Arabidopsis thaliana: one gene and its partners. The protein of the gene in region 3 interacts with the protein of the main gene of each other region in a pairwise test. Each region holds a gene or a part of one and is shown on either strand. Other genes may lie near its edges.

Evidence for each region.
Region 1: the proteins of ATXR5 (region 3) and AT4G32960 interact in a two-hybrid assay, tested with the Arabidopsis thaliana proteins (one large-scale study listed by BioGRID).
Region 2: the proteins of ATXR5 (region 3) and FIB interact in a two-hybrid assay, tested with the Arabidopsis thaliana proteins (one large-scale study listed by BioGRID).
Region 4: the proteins of ATXR5 (region 3) and HSFA1E interact in a two-hybrid assay, tested with the Arabidopsis thaliana proteins (one large-scale study listed by BioGRID).

Annotation. Positions count from the first base shown.
Region 1 is NC_003075.7:15,908,017-15,911,814, reverse strand, and holds AT4G32960 (BRISC/BRCA1-A complex protein), read left to right. Parts: upstream 1-1,522; 5' UTR 1,523-1,673; coding exon 1,674-1,940; intron 1,941-2,411; coding exon 2,412-2,570; intron 2,571-2,661; coding exon 2,662-3,030; 3' UTR 3,031-3,243; downstream 3,244-3,798. Other genes in the region: AT4G32970 (BRISC/BRCA1-A complex protein), read left to right, coding at 1-118, 295-327, 457-1,015, 1,107-1,144.
Region 2 is NC_003075.7:1,929,961-1,934,456, forward strand, and holds FIB (fibrillin), read left to right. Parts: upstream 1-1,922; 5' UTR 1,923-2,200; coding exon 2,201-2,646; intron 2,647-2,988; coding exon 2,989-3,184; intron 3,185-3,271; coding exon 3,272-3,586; 3' UTR 3,587-3,990; downstream 3,991-4,496. Other genes in the region: AT4G04025 (transcription repressor), read right to left, coding at 4,049-4,063, 4,134-4,496. UniProt on the Arabidopsis thaliana protein: Probably involved in light/cold stress-related jasmonate (JA) biosynthesis. Contributes to the protection of photosystem II (PSII) against light stress.
Region 3 is NC_003076.8:3,038,424-3,042,982, reverse strand, and holds ATXR5 (TRITHORAX-RELATED PROTEIN 5), read left to right. Parts: upstream 1-1,821; 5' UTR 1,822-2,012; coding exon 2,013-2,367; intron 2,368-2,467; coding exon 2,468-2,548; intron 2,549-2,812; coding exon 2,813-3,042; intron 3,043-3,137; coding exon 3,138-3,238; intron 3,239-3,324; coding exon 3,325-3,537; intron 3,538-3,619; coding exon 3,620-3,779; 3' UTR 3,780-4,003; downstream 4,004-4,559. Other genes in the region: AT5G09780 (Transcriptional factor B3 family protein), read left to right, coding at 4,499-4,559. UniProt on the Arabidopsis thaliana protein: Histone methyltransferase that specifically monomethylates 'Lys-27' of histone H3 (H3K27me1). Has much higher activity on nucleosomes containing H3.1 than H3.3.
Region 4 is NC_003074.8:671,861-676,968, forward strand, and holds HSFA1E (heat shock transcription factor A1E), read left to right. Parts: upstream 1-1,567; 5' UTR 1,568-1,753; coding exon 1,754-1,999; intron 2,000-2,967; coding exon 2,968-4,128; 3' UTR 4,129-4,160; intron 4,161-4,260; 3' UTR 4,261-4,568; downstream 4,569-5,108. Other genes in the region: MCC1 (MEIOTIC CONTROL OF CROSSOVERS1), read right to left, coding at 1-129, 210-355. UniProt on the Arabidopsis thaliana protein: Transcriptional activator that specifically binds DNA sequence 5'-AGAAnnTTCT-3' known as heat shock promoter elements (HSE).

The DNA of each region.
Region 1 (3,798 bases), on a different chromosome or scaffold from region 3:
AGAAGCAGGGAAATTGTCGAGCGTCTCCTTAGCTAATCCCAGTGATGTAGTGGATTCAATATGTGGAAGGGCATTTGATGCTTTAAAGCAGGAAGATGTTGTTGCTAATGAAAAAGAAGTAAGCTCTCTCACATATACTAGTGCACTGTATCAAACTACCTTTATTGTTTGTAGATAATATACTTGCATCATGTGTCTCATACAGATGAAGGTGGTTTTTGAGTACCAATGGTTATGCAAGTCGTCTAGTTTCATTTGTTCTCTTACGGTTCTAAAAATTTGTGTATTCTGCAGGACCGTCAAGGCCCAAGAGAAGCGGCAGTAAAGGCATGCTTCTTTCTTCCTGAAACCAGCATTGAAACACTGAAATCTTTCATTTGTAAAAAGAAGATGAATGTCATCCTCGCTTATGTTGGAAGTAGATAGTTAATTGCAATCTTATTTTCCAATCAGCAGGAACAACAGAGAGCAGCAGAAGTTTCTACCCCTGAGCTAACTTGTGTACCTGAGAGGGGACTGAACCTGGAGCAGTCACTAAGTGTTTGTCCTCATGATTCATCTGTCAAATCAGCTATTTCTTCTATGAATGAGAATGGACACAAAATCCTTGAGATGGTTCAACAACCAGTGGCTGAAGAAGAGGATCTTGCAGAAACTAAGACTAAGACATACAAGCGAGCTCGAGTCGAAAGCTCCAGCGTTCATAAAGCTGATGGCGAGATGGAGAAGGAAGCTGCAGAAGGAGAACCCTCTTGCCGGTCCCACAAATCGAGTGCTGAGCCCGGAGACTTGCAGCCTAAGAACCTCCCTGAACCTTGCTCTGTCACACAACAGCTGGCTAAGGTCAAACAGAGCATTTTAGACACTGTAGCCAGTGTAAGACAGTTTCGCTGTGAGCTGGAAAGAAAGGAACAGAGCATTGCAGACACTTTAAGCATTGTACGACAGTTCCGATCTGAGATCGAGGAAAAGGAAGATATGCTAGAAGCTTCACTCCTGGAAATCGATGTGTTAGGTATGTGATATGAATGCTGATGAACACTTAAGAGTCTATTTTTCTTTTTGGTTATAGGTCTCTCTGATAATGTGATGTTTGGAACAAACAGGGGAGAAGATATCGGGAATCAACAAAATCCTCAACTGAAGATCATCAAGTGGATTGCAAACTCAACTGGTATCCTGAAACTAGTTGGACGATTGAGTAACGTAGTTGACAACCAGAGAGAAGTCATTTTTTTGTATAGCGTTATCACTCGCTCAAGTCTAAAGACAGTTGATTTTCTTAATGTCAAGTCAAAAACCAATAGTGGTTCTTATAGGCACCACTTTTTTGATGATTTAACAAAGTTCGAAGTTACCGCAATTGCTAATACTGATCGATTCAATCAAAAGAAAGCACCAAGAAACTGCATAGCCTCAATAACAGAAGTAAAAGAATCTCTCTTGTGTCCTAGTGGAACTACTCAATGAAACGATTTTTGCTCATTCCCATTCGTCAAAAAAGTCAAAAGAATCAAAACGCTGAAACTTTTTCTCTGTACAAAGAAAAAAAAAGAAAACATTAAACGACGACGTCGTGTTTTAGTTTCACCAAAACGCATCGTTTTATTTATATCGGACGAACCAGTAGAATTGTAGAAAGTAGAAGAGAGAATTCACTACATCGGCGGCGAATGGAGGAAGAGAGAGTGGCCGTGACCGGAGTAGGAACGACTCGATACGCGCTTAAACCGGGGCGTATAAAAAGCGAGGACATACTCATCTGTATCGATGTAGATGCAGAATCGATGGTGGAGATGAAGACCACTGGAACTAATGGTAGGCCTTTGATCAGGATGGAGTGCGTCAAGCAAGCCATTATTCTCTTCATTCACAATAAGCTGTCCATTAATCCTGATCATCGCTTTGCTTTCGCTACGCTCGCCAAATCAGCCGCTTGGGTATACTATTACTTTTCTCTCCGATTCTCTTTATGTGATTCAATTTGGGGGCTTTCTTTTGATTTTTGACTATGCTCCTCAATTTTGCATTTTTAGTTGAAAATTTTGAAATTCATGATAAGCTATACAGTATGCATCTTGGAGATTTGAATTTGCTTTGAACATATTCTGAACCTAATCCTCAATCTTAAACCTGGTTTTTCATGGATGCATGATTTGTTGAACATTCTTTACCTGATTGAAACTTGATGGTTTTTTCACCTGAGAATGGTGTTCTTGTTACTGTTTGTAGCTTCTAGATGTGTTGTGAGAATCACATTTGATGCTTTAACATAAGCTTCACTGGTGAATGTTGTGTGGGAAATAATGTCAAATTTGGTTCATGAAACTTTTGTTTAGATCCTCTCTACACTATTATCTGTGCTGATTGTTTCATTTGAAAATTGAACTTGAGGCCTTTTTATGTTTCAGCTTAAAAAGGAGTTCACAAGTGATGCTGAATCTGCTGTTGCTTCCCTTAGAGGATTGTCAGGTAATAAATCCTCTAGTCGAGCGGATCTCACACTTCTCTTCCGAGCAGCAGCTCAGGAAGCCAAAGTTTCCAGAGCACAGAACCGAATTTTCAGGGTGGTAAGGTTTATTTTGTGAAACTACAATCTCCTCTAGCCACAGCCTGAAAAATAAACGATGTTTTACTGATTTTGTTCATGTCGCCCTGCAGATTCTCATATACTGTAGGTCATCTATGAGACCAACCCATGAGTGGCCCTTAAACCAGAAGCTCTTCACGTTGGATGTTATGTACCTGCACGACAAGCCAAGTCCTGATAATTGTCCACAAGATGTGTATGACTCTCTTGTCGATGCAGTAGAACATGTTTCAGAGTATGAAGGTTACATATTTGAGAGCGGTCAAGGGCTTGCACGGTCTGTTTTCAAGCCAATGTCAATGCTGTTAACTCATCCTCAACAAAGATGTGCTCAAGATGATCTTGACATCCCCATGTCTCTTGCAAAGAAAGTGCCTGTGACTGAGGCGGCAAGTGCTGTAGATCCTCACAATGGGAACAATATTCAGATCATAAACTAATGAAACACTTTTTTTTTTTTCTTGTATCTTTTGGTCATGACATGGTTGTGAGTTTCGCATGTGAAAAAAATACTCAAAACCTGTAGTGACAACTTGTTCTAGATCCATCAAGTAAGAAACTCAAATGTCCAGATGAATATAAATGATTTTCTTATTTTAAGAGAAAATACCTCATCAAGTCCTCAAGGGCTCTCTAATAAAAGGTATTTGCAATATTGTTTCAGCTATTAATGATGAATTAAATGTCTAATATGAGCTAAATAAATTGAATTATGTAACTAGTCTTATCTTTTATCCCGATAACCATATCAGCAAACTTTTCATATGAATGAATACATAGATAATGCACAAATTAAAGTACGTCATTGTGTACATGGATATCTTAGTTTATGGAAATGTGTGGCTTTGAGAACGAGAAGCTAAGAAATATTACAAATTGCTTTGAATGTTGCAAAGTCAATACATCGATCAAGTTGATATTCAATGTTTTAATATATTGGGTAGATATTCATATTGGCGAGATCGTGATTGCATGATCTTCAATGTTTCTTTGGGAAGAAATTCATCAAAAATCCATTGGCTTATCCAAAAGAAAAATCTTCACGATTTCATGAAAATATATGCATGTAATTTAGTTTCGCTTTCCCTTAAGTTTATCCTTATAGCTAAAGCAACAGTCTAGTTCGTAAATTATGCCTCTCGGATAGGTAATAGCTAATGGACGATGTCACCACGACTTTAGGAAAACCTAAAATATATCTCAAAACA
Region 2 (4,496 bases), on a different chromosome or scaffold from region 3:
GATTGTAAACTACGCAAACAGTTATGCAAATGCCTTGTAAATCATTCTACGACAGTTAATTAAGCTTTAAAAACGATTGTAAAACTTTATTACCTGTTGTGAGATAGAACTCTCTCAAGGAGAAACAGATAGGTTGAGAATCAACTCTAAACCAAAGAGTTGATCCTTTTGTTTTCACTCTCTGCTGCATGAGATAGTGAAAGATTTTCCCAGAAAATCTGATTCCCTTCTTAGCCTTCATTTTTGGTCCCAATTCAACTAGAAGACCAAGAAACGAACTTCTAATCTTCTGAAATAAACACTCGCCTAAAGCTTCCTCTACTTTACTAACTAAATTCCAATCCAAGTATTGTTGAACGGTTCCCAGTGCAATAGATTCCTCACCTTCTCTGTAGATCTGTTCAGGCAATGTAAGGATTTCACTCTCTGAATCCATCTGCAAAACATGTTATGAAACATCGTCAGATCTACTATAAAATCGACTATAAAATCGATTATAAAAACGGTTACCGTCGGATCTATCGATATCTCTGGGGATTGTTTGCGTCGTAGAGAAATGATCTGAATCCGTCAGCGAAGAACAGATTTATCGGAGAGGAAATTCGTCAGCGATTTTGGGGTTTCTCGGAGAGAAAATTTGTCGGCGATTTTGAGTGAAATCGGAGAGGAAATTCGTTGGCGATTTTGAGTGAAATCGGAGAGGAAATTCGTCGGCAATTTTGAGTGAAATCGGAGAGGAAATTCGCCGGCGATTTTGAGTGAAATCGGATAGGAAAATTCGTTGGCCAAAACGAAGAAGTTTGTGCCAAAACGAATTGTATTGTGAAACGAATGTGAAACCTAATCATTCAGTAAGGGTAAGACAGTCATTTGCCATATTAGAAAGGGTAGTTTTAAAAATGGCCTTCAGGAAAGGACATTTTTACAAAAGGTTATTAGAATAAGGGCAGTTTTGCAAATCTCCCAATTAAATATTAAAGTATTTTGAATCAATGGCATTTTTGTAATTAATCTAAACCGGAAGGATATTTTTTGGTTTATATTTTATTTCTCTTTCCTATTTACGTAAATAACATATTTTTATGTATAAATTCTTAATATTCTGTTTATCCATGTATATATTTTTAACTCACCCTATAGTTTTCTAAGTAATTTAAGTATTTTGGTTACATTTGGTTATATTTTGGTAAAATATAACTAATATATTTTTGGATAAACTAATCAGGCATCTCGGTTAGATTTAGGTATAGATGAGTAAAAAACTCGAACTCGACCTGAACCCAAAAATATTTTGAGTATTTTTGATTATTTTTCAATTCTTACTAAAATAACTAAATCGATCCAAACTCAAACCAAAACCGAACCAAAATTTTAGAATACATGAATGGTTTTTAACTTCATACCTAAATAGATCCGATACTCAAAAAAAAAAAGAACCGAACAGATATGAGTACCCGAATATCTACACCTGCCCAGTATTATTATTATTATTTTTTTTGAACAAACACCGGTACTATTATTTTACCAGCTAATTTTTCTCCCTTTAAGAACGTTTTGGACCTATTGGTCTATTGGATACAAAACTATTGTATTCATTTTAAATTTTTAATGGGTCTTCTTTGTTAATAAAGGCCCATTAAATATACTATCCAGGCCCATTTAGTCCAACTACTTATTACACTGTTGATTAATCGCCGTTTAGATATTTTGCATTGGAGAGAATCTTCACCGTTCAGAAAACTGAAGATCGAAGATCACCAAAACCGGCCAAAAAGTATAGTACACGTCCGAAGATTCTAGATCCATCATGCCATTTGCATTGCATGGCCTAACTCTCGTAGAAAACCCAAACAAATTCTCCCCCACACAAATAATGGGACAAAAACCAAATTAAACCAAATTGTTTCCCTATTGAAGAAAATAAAATCTTCCACAAATTTTATGAATTTTTCATAAAGTCGGCAACTTCACACGAGTCCAGGTCGATTCTTAAAACAATGATCTTTAACCATCCACGTGTCAAAATCCCACCTTAGCTTACCTCATTTGTTCTATTCCAAATACCTATTCTATCCCTTGGATCTTGACTTATATGTTCATAAGAAAGTGTACCAGATAAGGGTATATACGTCATTTACAGTCCAGCTCAACGGTTATAAAATCCTAATTCGTGAGGTTTCTCTGAAGAACAAACACAAAAATGGCGACGGTACCATTGTTCACCCAGTTTCCCTGCAAAACCCTAAATCCAAGCTCATCAAACACTAAACACCAATCGAAATCTCCGATCCTACTACCGATTAACTCAATAAATCGGCGATCGGAGATTGGAGTCTCTGTTCATCGGCCAGATTTCAAAATCCGAGCGACGGACATCGACGACGAATGGGGTCAAGATGGAGTGGAGAGAGTATTTGCCTCATCTTCAACCGTATCGGTAGCAGATAAAGCAATCGAATCCGTGGAGGAGACGGAGAGGCTAAAGAGATCACTAGCGGATTCGTTGTACGGAACAGATCGAGGTTTAAGCGTATCGAGTGATACGAGAGCTGAGATCAGCGAGCTCATCACACAGCTCGAGTCTAAGAACCCTACTCCAGCTCCTAACGAAGCTCTGTTTCTCCTCAACGGCAAATGGATCCTCGCGTAAGTACTTTTAGTTCTGATACTCTCCTAGGCACGGCATGTAATATTAGTTTTGTCCCAAACATTACTCAAACCGGTGATCTCTAAGCTTCGTCTAGGATCTTTACCAATTAAGTTAATGATACTTTAAACTTACCGGTGGAAGTTTAATTTCCCGGTGAAAACTGTTTAGTTCCGTTATGAATGATTTGATTTTGATAGTGAAAAGCAAGTTGTGGTTACAAAGAAGATTTAATTATGAATTTGGATTATGATTCTGTGTGTAGTTATGAGCCTTCGTTTATTTTTAGCCGTTATTGTTATGAATCAAGAACTTAGTTTTTAAGTGTTTATCTCGTGAAGCTACACGTCGTTCGTGGGGTTGTTCCCATTGCTCTCACGAAGAATTGAACCGTTGGTTAAAGTGGATGAGATCTCACAAACCATTGATTCCGATAGCTTCACCGTTCAAAACTCTGTCCGGTTCGCTGGTCCGTTTTCCACAACGTCGTTTAGCACCAACGCTAAGTTTGAAATCCGAAGTCCTAAACGTGTCCAGGTAAATCAAGAATCATCCCCTAAAACCACAAATGGCAAATGCTAATGTTACATAACCTAATTGTTTTTTTTGTTTTGTTTGTTGTAGATTAAGTTCGAGCAAGGTGTTATAGGGACTCCTCAGCTAACGGATTCGATTGAAATACCGGAATCCGTGGAGGTTCTTGGTCAGAAAATCGATCTCAATCCCATTAAAGGTTTACTTACATCAGTCCAAGACACTGCTTCTTCAGTGGCTAGAACCATTTCAAACCAACCACCATTGAAGTTTTCTCTGCCTAGTGACAACACGCAGTCGTGGCTGCTCACAACTTATCTCGACAAGGACCTTCGGATCTCGAGAGGCGATGGTGGAAGCGTCTATGTGCTCATCAAAGAAGGAAGCTCTCTCTTAAACCCTTAAATCATCATAACTCTCATCACATCCATAGTAACATATATACAAGTATAGACCCATCTGTCTATGTTTACTAGTGTTGTAACTGTTATATAGCTTCTTTACCTGTTGGAGAGTTATAAACTTATAATGGATGTTACTCTTGGTATACTGTACTACAATACATATACATAACTACATACTTGAACAGGCCAGTTATGGGTTTGCAACAGCAACACTTAGCATTGGTTCAAATTTGGTATACTAGGAGGGTTTGCATTCTGTATGGCATTCGGTTTTCCGGTTTAGTTTCAGTTCGAACTTTTGACTCGGATTGGATCAGGTTGTCAGCATTTTGGTCTGGTTTGAGTTTACAAAGGGGATACCAAATTGAAACCAAAATTTGTATCTAGTTCTGTAATTTTAATTTCAGTTATTTTTGGTTTATGAATGGTGGTAAATCTATTTATTACTTAGAAAACCGGTTTGTTACAAACCAGGTATCTTACACAAACATTTGAAAGAAACAACTGATCTTTGTTCACTCTTAGCTACGAAACAAATCAGCACAAACCTCGTAAAAGATCTCGAGAATGGCAGACCGATATTCGCGAGGATTCATCGATAGATAGTACTCCAAGAGGCTTCTAAGTTCATCTGCTTCTTTGATCTTGTTTGCTACAATCATCTCAACCATAGAGTCTCTAAAATCCTTTCTTGGATCAAAAGAACATTTCTCCATCGCCATCATGACAATGAACTTAGTGCTACTGATACTACCCTCACTTCTTCTTCTTCTTCTTCTCATCTTTTGTTGTCTTATCTTCTCTTGATGTGTGGCTTCTTGTGTCTCTCTGATCATCTGCTCTAGCTTCTCCTGAACCATGTAGTGTGCTAGACTAGAGAGCGAACCGTGATGGTCTGAAAATCTTGAACT
Region 3 (4,559 bases):
CAATGTTCTTTAGTACTAGTATCATTGCAATGTTGATACTCTAAACCAGAATTTTATGTTTGGACTTGGCAAAATCGTATTAAAAGTAAAGCTATCAATATGCTCTATCAAGGGAGATGTTGTCTTTGTATCTAAAACAAACTGAATCTTGATTGATTGAGCAGTCAAAAACAAAATTGGATTTAAAAGATTACAAGAAGTGGATTTGGCATTTGGAGGAACGTTAGGATAAGGAAGGAGGTCTTTGGTGAGTTGCAATTTCTTGTCAACATCAACCTTAGTACCAATTTCCACTTTCATTACTTGAAGAAATTCACTTTCCGACAGAACAGCCTCACTTGTTCGACTTCTCTAAGATTCCCTCTACACCCGTATAACTCCAACACCTTCAACGTATTTCCATCAATGCTATACCCACAAGTACTTACACACTGAAAACCCTGAAACAACGGATAGAAAAGAAAAGAACACACAGTAAGTGAAACTCCGAGATTAAATTTATAATTGAGAAAGAGAAAAAGAGATCATATTATACATACAAACCTTGAGGATCAAAGTTTCTAGATTGGGAGAGCTTTTTATCAGAGTCCAAAGAACTTTCCAACCTTTTTTCGTCTTAGACTCAAACGATAGTTTAACAAGGTTTTTAAACAAGGGAAATTCATTACTACGCCAATAATCGAAGCAATGACGCATCATCTACAACACACAAGCAAACTGGTCATGAATGAAACACAAACAAATTGGTCAAGCATGAATGTAACAAGATACATGGAGAAGAGAGAGACATCATACTTTAACGGTAGTAGAAGCAAGGTCAAGAATGTTTTTCATATTCCTCATATTCATAGGGACAAAACTCATAAGGCATAGAAAGATCGATGCGGGCTTCTCGAAGGGAATCCATTGTGATGGACCAGTAATAGTCTTATTTCTTTGATTTTTTTGGAATACTATGACTTAAACAGTATTAGTATAAGCAAAACTTACATGGCGAGCATATATGAATATCTTGAAGCATCCACCGATGCAAGACTTAAGTTTTCATCCTTGTGAAGAAGTGCAACAACCTTAATAAAGGACTTAGCCACAAAATTACCTAGCATACACCCCGGTTCAGAAAATATGATAAGAAAGTTTTGCTCTCATCGTCAAGAATATATCAAACAACCATTTCACTTGTTCCAATTATGTATATTATTCTTTATAGTCTATACCATAACTATTTCATTAACGCTAACACCGCAATTTCTTATTAATTAAAAACCTTGAAAAAAATAGAGAAAACTATTCATATATAAAATTATAAGATAAAAATTTACAATTGAAAGATATTATATATGTATATAAAATTATGAAAATCAATATGGCGAAAAATTCTTAAATCGGAAACAGAAAATTATGTTAAACCATAAGACATAATTTATTAAATTTTGTATTTTATAGATTCAGATTTATGTAATATTACATTGTTGGTCAAACCAGAACACTTTGGTTTAGCTTGTCAAATAAAGAACTTGAGCCTCCAATGAGGCGGACCGACTGTTGGGCTTGGCGTTGGGGTGGCTCAGTTGACGAAATTGACGTTTACTGTGTTTGTATTGAGCCCACCAACATATATTTTTTTTCAATTGAAAGATATCTATTTTTGTAATTACGTTTGTATAGTATAGTTAATACTGTATTAATTTTTATATCAATCCCTAGTAAATTAAATAAGTAAAATTTAGTTAAGAAATTTAGTAACAATTAAAAGGCTTTAATGGTTGTAAATTTATTAGTATCACTTACAATGTTTAAACCTTTTAAGACATACCAGTAATTTTGAATTTGTCAAAGGTCAAAAAAACAAAAGAGCCGATAAAGAAGAGTCTCAAAGGAAGAATCCCAAATTACACTCCAGGTGATGCGCACATCAGTTTTCGTGCGCACACGCGGCGGTGCACATTAGCCCCAACCAATCAAAATCATATATCCCGTTCTCCGGCGACTCTTCGTCGTGAGCTTCCGTCATGGCCACATGGAACGCATCCTCCCCTGCGGCGTCTCCTTGCTCATCGAGGCGACGAACGAAAGCTCCAGCGAGACGCCCTTCCTCCGAATCTCCACCACCGAGGAAGATGAAATCAATGGCTGAGATAATGGCGAAATCTGTCCCTGTGGTTGAACAAGAAGAAGAAGAAGACGAAGACAGCTACAGTAACGTCACCTGCGAGAAATGTGGTTCTGGAGAAGGAGACGATGAGCTTCTTCTCTGTGACAAATGCGATAGAGGCTTTCACATGAAATGCCTTAGACCCATTGTTGTTCGTGTCCCCATTGGAACTTGGCTTTGTGTCGATTGTTCCGACCAACGACCTGTAAGAAGTATGGATTTTTTGTTTCTTCGCTTTTAAATTTCCTAATTTTCTTGTGTTCTTTGTTTAATAAAAAAATGGATTTTTCTCTTGTCCGGTGAAATGTTTAGGGTTATCTCAGAAGAAGATTTTACATTTCTTTCGGATTGAGAAGCATACTCATCAAACAGACAAATTGGAATTGAGTCAAGGTGCGATTTTTGTTTTTGGATTTCATGATATGATCATAAAGTTCTTGAGTTGATGAATCTGACGAGATGTTTCACTTGATTAAATAGTTAGATGAATATGAAATAGCTTAACTTTGGCCTATTATATGCTTGAAATTTTGTTGCACCTTATGTAGGGTTAATAAGCATTGATGAGAACTTATACATATCATATACATAGATCATAGATGCTTCAGGATTAAACTAATAACAAGTGTTTGAGATTGAGATTTCTTTGTTTTGAAGAAGAAACTAGAAAGCGGAGACGATCTTGCTCTTTGACAGTGAAGAAAAGAAGGAGAAAACTCTTACCTTTGGTTCCATCAGAAGATCCTGATCAGAGGCTTGCACAAATGGGAACACTTGCTTCTGCATTAACGGCATTGGGTATCAAATACAGCGATGGTTTAAATTATGTTCCCGGAATGGCTCCTCGGTCTGCAAATCAATCCAAGTTAGAGAAAGGTGGGATGCAGGTAATAAACAAAAACAATCTTTCAGCCATTTATCCATAACTCTCTTATTTTAAGTTACTTCCTTGATTGTTTATCTCGGTTTTTACTTTTCGCAGGTGCTATGCAAAGAAGATTTAGAGACATTGGAACAATGTCAATCTATGTATAGACGAGGAGAATGCCCTCCTCTCGTTGTGGTATTTGATCCGCTTGAAGGGTATCTCTCTCTATTCCTTCGATCAACCTTCCCATAATGACAAAGTGGAGTTGTAAACATGTTCTTTGGTTATTCCGTTTGTACAGTTACACAGTTGAAGCAGATGGTCCTATTAAGGACTTAACATTCATAGCTGAATATACAGGGGATGTTGATTACTTGAAAAACCGAGAAAAAGACGATTGTGACAGCATCATGACTCTCCTTTTATCAGAAGATCCTTCAAAGACTCTTGTTATCTGTCCAGACAAGTTTGGAAACATATCTCGCTTCATTAATGGCATTAACAATCACAATCCGTAAGCAACAAATTCAAAATTGTTTTCCCCCCACTAAACTGGTTTATAACATTGAATCATCACATCACACTGATTGTTGCAGGGTTGCTAAGAAGAAGCAGAACTGCAAATGCGTGAGGTATAGCATAAACGGCGAATGTCGAGTTCTTCTAGTGGCTACACGCGATATATCGAAAGGGGAAAGGCTCTATTATGACTACAATGGTTATGAACATGAGTATCCTACTCATCACTTCCTCTGATCTTTCAATTCTAACAGTTCTACAGAGTCTCTAGATCAGATGTTCTTTTTGTTGCCATATTACAGGTCAATTATAAATGTAGGGCTGCTGAATATATGGCCTTTAATTATGAAGTTAGCGGTAGAATAATTGGATTTGGAATGACATTACAGAGATTAAGATGTGGCAAATGTCAATTGCTGAACTTTTGTTTGATATCAAATGAAATCCTAACCTTTTTCTTATATGTTCTTGGAGACAACTTCACCACCTTAAGTGGTTGCCAAATAAGTTATAATTTCTTTTATACTCTTCTTCATAAATTTATCAAAATGAAGAACTAATCCAATACAGTCATTACCTAAACAGAAAAGTATAATTACAGTACTTGCCTAGTGTCGTACTTCTTATTTCCAGTCACCGAAATGTATTAACGCCAAAAGAGATTCATCTGTTATGCATAATAATCGCATGCTATGAATTAAATGAACACATCCAAAAAGGATGAAGTCACAATTGTACTACAGTTTCAGTATTGAGAGGAAAGCTTTTTTCACTTTGACCACTTTGATTGAATCATATCTTTGAAATTTTAAGTGGTGCTTTGCTACATATTCAACGGCTCAACAAGACAGAGAGAAAAATATTACGAGAGGAGATAGAGAGTGAGAGAGACGAGCAAGTTGAAGGAGCAAAACTTGTAGGTGAGAGCTTGAATCAGAACATTTCAAAGGAGAGAGATGGCAAGTAACCCTGATTTTCTTTGGTGCAAAGAAGAGAGGAAGCAGGAAAGCTTCTTCA
Region 4 (5,108 bases), on a different chromosome or scaffold from region 3:
AGCACAAATTTGGCAGTAACAAAACCAATAAGTTCATCAGAGTGATCATCAGGCCGGCTCCGATCAACAGCAGCCCATGAGACGATATCAACTCCGTTCACAACACTCTGGAAAAACTCAGACTCATACCTGACAAAACAAAAATCAATACTTTAGAAATCTTTTCACAAGACACCAACATAGGAAAATCCAAGTAGATGGATGCATACTTGATGGGGAAGATATCGCGATGGATTTGCTCCAAACGATCTAGATCATTAGGGTTTATAGGTCTATAGTGAATACTTGGGCAAAGAGAGATTCCTGCATCTTCCATTGATGAATCATCTATGAATCTTCGAGGAAATCGCGACATTGTTTGGTATCCGAAGAACCAGAAAAGCCACTTCCCATTGTGAAGTGCCAGATCACTGGATCCGACCCGTTGAAGTAAATGGATCCGGATAGATTTAACGAATCTGGATCTGAGTGGGTTTGTTTGGATTTGATTGGTTAATCTTCGGCGAAGGAATCAATCAAGAACCGAGTTTCGAGCATGGGAAAGAAAAAGGTGCTTGCTTGCTTTGCCCTCTCCTCTGTCTCTTGGGGCTTTTTCTCGTTCCAAGTGAAGCATCTTGGCTCGTGTGCTTTGCGACAACCAATCACGTGCCTCTTTTAGAAGGAGAGTACTAATGTACTATTTATGAATGGAATATTCGATTCTCTTAAATGAAAAATTGTTCCATTTTCAATAATATAACCATTTTTAACAATAAAAATTCGTACTGTTTTTTCTATCTGAAAAAAATGGATTTGAAAAAATTCGTACTTTCGATTCATAATCTGCTTTTTATTATTATTCGTTATAAGTCTGTACTATGGTAAGAGAACCTTAAAATATTCCCCTCCACAACAAAAAATAAAAATCAAACTGGAGAAGAGTTAGGCAGTAAAGGAGAATTTCCTTGCCCTATTAACTCGATTAGGCGGGCCAATACACTTGTTATGTGTTTTCCACTTTTCTTCGTTACAAATTTAGATTAGTCTTACATGATGAGCCGTTAGATATCATAGAAAGAAATAATCTTATAAAATTTGATAAGATTTCTATAATCCACAAATCTGGATCGATGTTTATTTCAGATTTATAAATATTGTCTTAAAAAAAAAATTATTGGCCGTCTCGGCGGCAAGCAGAGAGAGAGAGACTCAACGTTTTCGTAACAACAAAACTTTGAGTAGCAGAAAATTATCCAAAAAAAAACGTGAAACGCAAATGGAAAAAATTGAGAAAAGTAACGCGAGTCCAGTGCCACGTATGAAAAAAAGAGCTTAGGACCAGATACGTTAATCAGAAAAAGACCAGGTACGTACGTTAATTAATGTTTTTTTAAAAAGGCCAAGCACGTTAGTCCAGCCCACGTGGTATTTCTTATCTTAACAACAAAACTAATTTTTTAATTTAATAATCGGACGTTGCAGAGGTAATCAGATCAACGGTAGAGATTACGACACGTTATATCACTCTGCGAAACTCCACCGCTTTCTGGAATTAAAAAAATCAGAGTGTATAAATAAAAGAGCAGAGGTAAAAGCTATCTCCAGAGTTTAATATAAGTGTAGACAGAGAGAGAGAGAGCTTCTTTCTTCTTCTCTTCGTCGCTAAGAGATGATCTTCGAATATAAATCTCTGTAAGGTTTGCGAAGACCGGAGTAGTGAATCTCGGAATTGTTGAAGAAGACGGTACACCGGAATCAATTGCGATTTTGATTTATGGGAACGGTTTGCGAATCTGTAGCGACGGCGAAATCTTCGACGGCGGTGATGAGCTCCATTCCGCCTTTTCTGAGCAAAACGTACGATATGGTTGACGATCCATTGACGGACGACGTGGTGTCTTGGAGCAGCGGAAACAACAGCTTCGTGGTTTGGAACGTGCCTGAGTTCGCCAAACAGTTTCTACCAAAGTATTTCAAGCACAACAATTTCTCCAGCTTCGTCAGACAGCTCAATACTTATGTGAGTGAACTTCGATCGATTCTTTTTTATTTGTTTTTCTCTTCATTGATTCGATTTTCTTCAATTTCGTAGTTCGATTTTAGGGAATCTTACTTTATGTGCTTCATTTTTATTTTACTCTCTTGTTTTTTTTGTGGTTGAATTAAGCATTAGTTATTGATAAAACTCACGAATGATTTAAGGTTGCAAGAAGGTGCTTTGAGAAGTCGACTCCTATTTAGTGTATAGTATGATGCTACTGATTGATGTTCCTATATAGTTGTTGACGCTGGTGGTTGAACTATGCACGTCTAGTAGGTTGTGTTAATGTTGATTTTAGTTGCACTAACTGTTAAGATTGGATCTTTTTGGGTTCTGACAAACTCGTGCAAGATAATTTCACATATTTGTATTGTTCTTCAGTTGTTTTTTGTACATGTATACCCTGTGAACTGCAGGCATATATGTTTTTGTTTTTCTAAGTATCTGAGCTTGCATCCGTGTCTGTGAGGCTGGAATGAATTTTCTTAGGTCAAGCAAAACTAACAAGTGTATACTCTTGCGTAGCTTGTTCCTCCCCTGTTCTTATTTACTTACCAAAAGGTTCCACGAACTTTGCAGGCTTATTTGGACATGTGCTCATATGTGTCTGACGATTGGTTGATTCAGCACTTCCATTTCTGGCCTCTTAAGTCACAAAACAAAATTTCTATCAGTTGTCCCATGTTAGCTTTCCATTCGTTTGTATTTGTCCGTCCAGGTACATGCCGATACACTAACAACTGTATTAGTTTCCTTGGACCATGGTAGTTTGGTGCTGCAGCTAGACCCAGTGAACGTATCATACCATATCTAGAATAGTTGTTATTAACGTATTTAATGGTCTTTATGTTTATACAAATCTTCTATGTTGGCTTCCTATTGCAACGGAATCCAAGTAACTTCTTGCGGTTGATGACTGTTCCATTCTCCATGCTTCTTTTTTTCAGGGTTTTAGAAAAGTTGATCCAGACCGCTGGGAGTTTGCAAACGAGGGCTTTTTAAGAGGCCAAAAGCAAATACTAAAGAGTATTGTCCGGCGAAAACCTGCACAAGTGCAGCCTCCACAACAACCTCAAGTTCAGCACTCATCTGTGGGTGCGTGCGTTGAAGTGGGCAAATTTGGACTCGAAGAGGAAGTGGAAAGACTTCAGCGCGATAAGAACGTCCTTATGCAGGAACTTGTAAGGTTGAGGCAGCAACAACAAGTTACCGAACATCATCTGCAGAATGTGGGGCAGAAAGTTCATGTGATGGAGCAGAGGCAGCAACAGATGATGTCCTTTCTAGCAAAGGCTGTCCAAAGTCCAGGTTTCTTAAACCAATTTTCTCAGCAGAGTAATGAAGCAAACCAACACATTTCTGAAAGCAACAAAAAGAGGAGGCTACCTGTTGAGGACCAGATGAATTCTGGCAGTCATGGGGTTAATGGTCTTAGCCGCCAGATTGTGAGATATCAGTCATCGATGAACGATGCAACAAACACTATGCTTCAACAGATACAGCAGATGAGTAATGCACCTAGCCATGAATCTCTCTCAAGCAATAATGGTAGCTTTCTTTTGGGCGATGTTCCAAATTCTAACATTTCAGACAATGGGAGCTCCTCAAATGGATCACCTGAAGTTACATTGGCAGATGTTTCATCCATTCCTGCAGGCTTCTATCCTGCAATGAAGTACCACGAGCCTTGTGAAACAAATCAAGTCATGGAGACCAATTTGCCTTTTTCTCAAGGTGATCTCTTACCTCCAACGCAAGGAGCAGCAGCTTCTGGGAGCTCAAGTTCGGATCTTGTTGGATGCGAGACAGATAATGGAGAGTGTTTGGATCCAATAATGGCTGTTTTGGATGGCGCACTCGAACTAGAAGCTGATACCTTAAATGAGTTGCTTCCTGAAGTCCAAGATTCTTTTTGGGAACAGTTCATTGGTGAGAGCCCAGTGATTGGTGAGACAGATGAGTTAATCTCAGGATCAGTGGAAAATGAACTGATATTGGAGCAACTAGAGTTACAATCAACCCTGAGTAATGTGTGGAGCAAGAATCAACAAATGAACCATCTTACTGAACAGATGGGACTTCTCACATCAGATGCTCTCAGAAAATGAGATTGCCACAGGCCACAATCTTTCCTCACGAGGTAATCAGTCTATCTATATTGATATGTTATAAACCACACACTTTCCAAAATTTAAATTTTGTGCAAAACCAAACCCCTCGTCTTTGTCTTGTTATCGCAGATGGGTTAAGATTTTGTGGAGCCGCAACAACAAAAAGAATATGACCAAAGGAGGTACTATGTATGTATGTATCAAACTGTTGTAACTCTAATTCTTGTCAATGTATAATAAAATAAGAGAAATATTGCCTTAAAAGATTTTTGCATTGCAATATCTTTGTTTGTTACTGACAGAATGAAAAGGAGATGCTTCAAAGTGAGAGATATTCTTCTGTTCTTGTGTATGTCTTTAGAGATCCTTGTTTATTTTTGTTACATTAAGTGCAAAAATTGGCATTTTGGTTAACCTGTGGCCAAATCTTACCTGCTTTAGTGTTTTTTTATCAGTCCTTCACTTTTAGTTTCTTGAGTAAAACTAATGTTCCAATTTCGTCTAAAGGAAATCATCTAAAGAGAGAGTAAAAAGGAAGAACGTGTGTCGTGTGGATATAGTAACAAAGTGGTTTAAAAGGATCAAGTCATTGATTACACGGAATCAAAGTGTATGTACATGCATATGTTAAGCTCTGAAACTGCAACCGAACCAGATCCATTTGTCGTTTGTATCAATCTTAAACTTGCTTTTAACATTACATACAACATTACATATGATATTACCATTAGTTGTAATTTATATAGCTTATATGATATATATCTATTTCTGAAAACTATATAAATATTTTACATATGATAAATTTCACAGATATCTCATGGATATATTGCTTTAAAAGAGGATATGAACATTAATAAACATGTAATTTGTTAAAAGAATTGATAAAGACCATATATTAAGGATAAAATAGTTACTCTGAAAGAAAATTTGAACATTCATGCATGCAATATATAACGTATGTCGAACACTCGATTCAT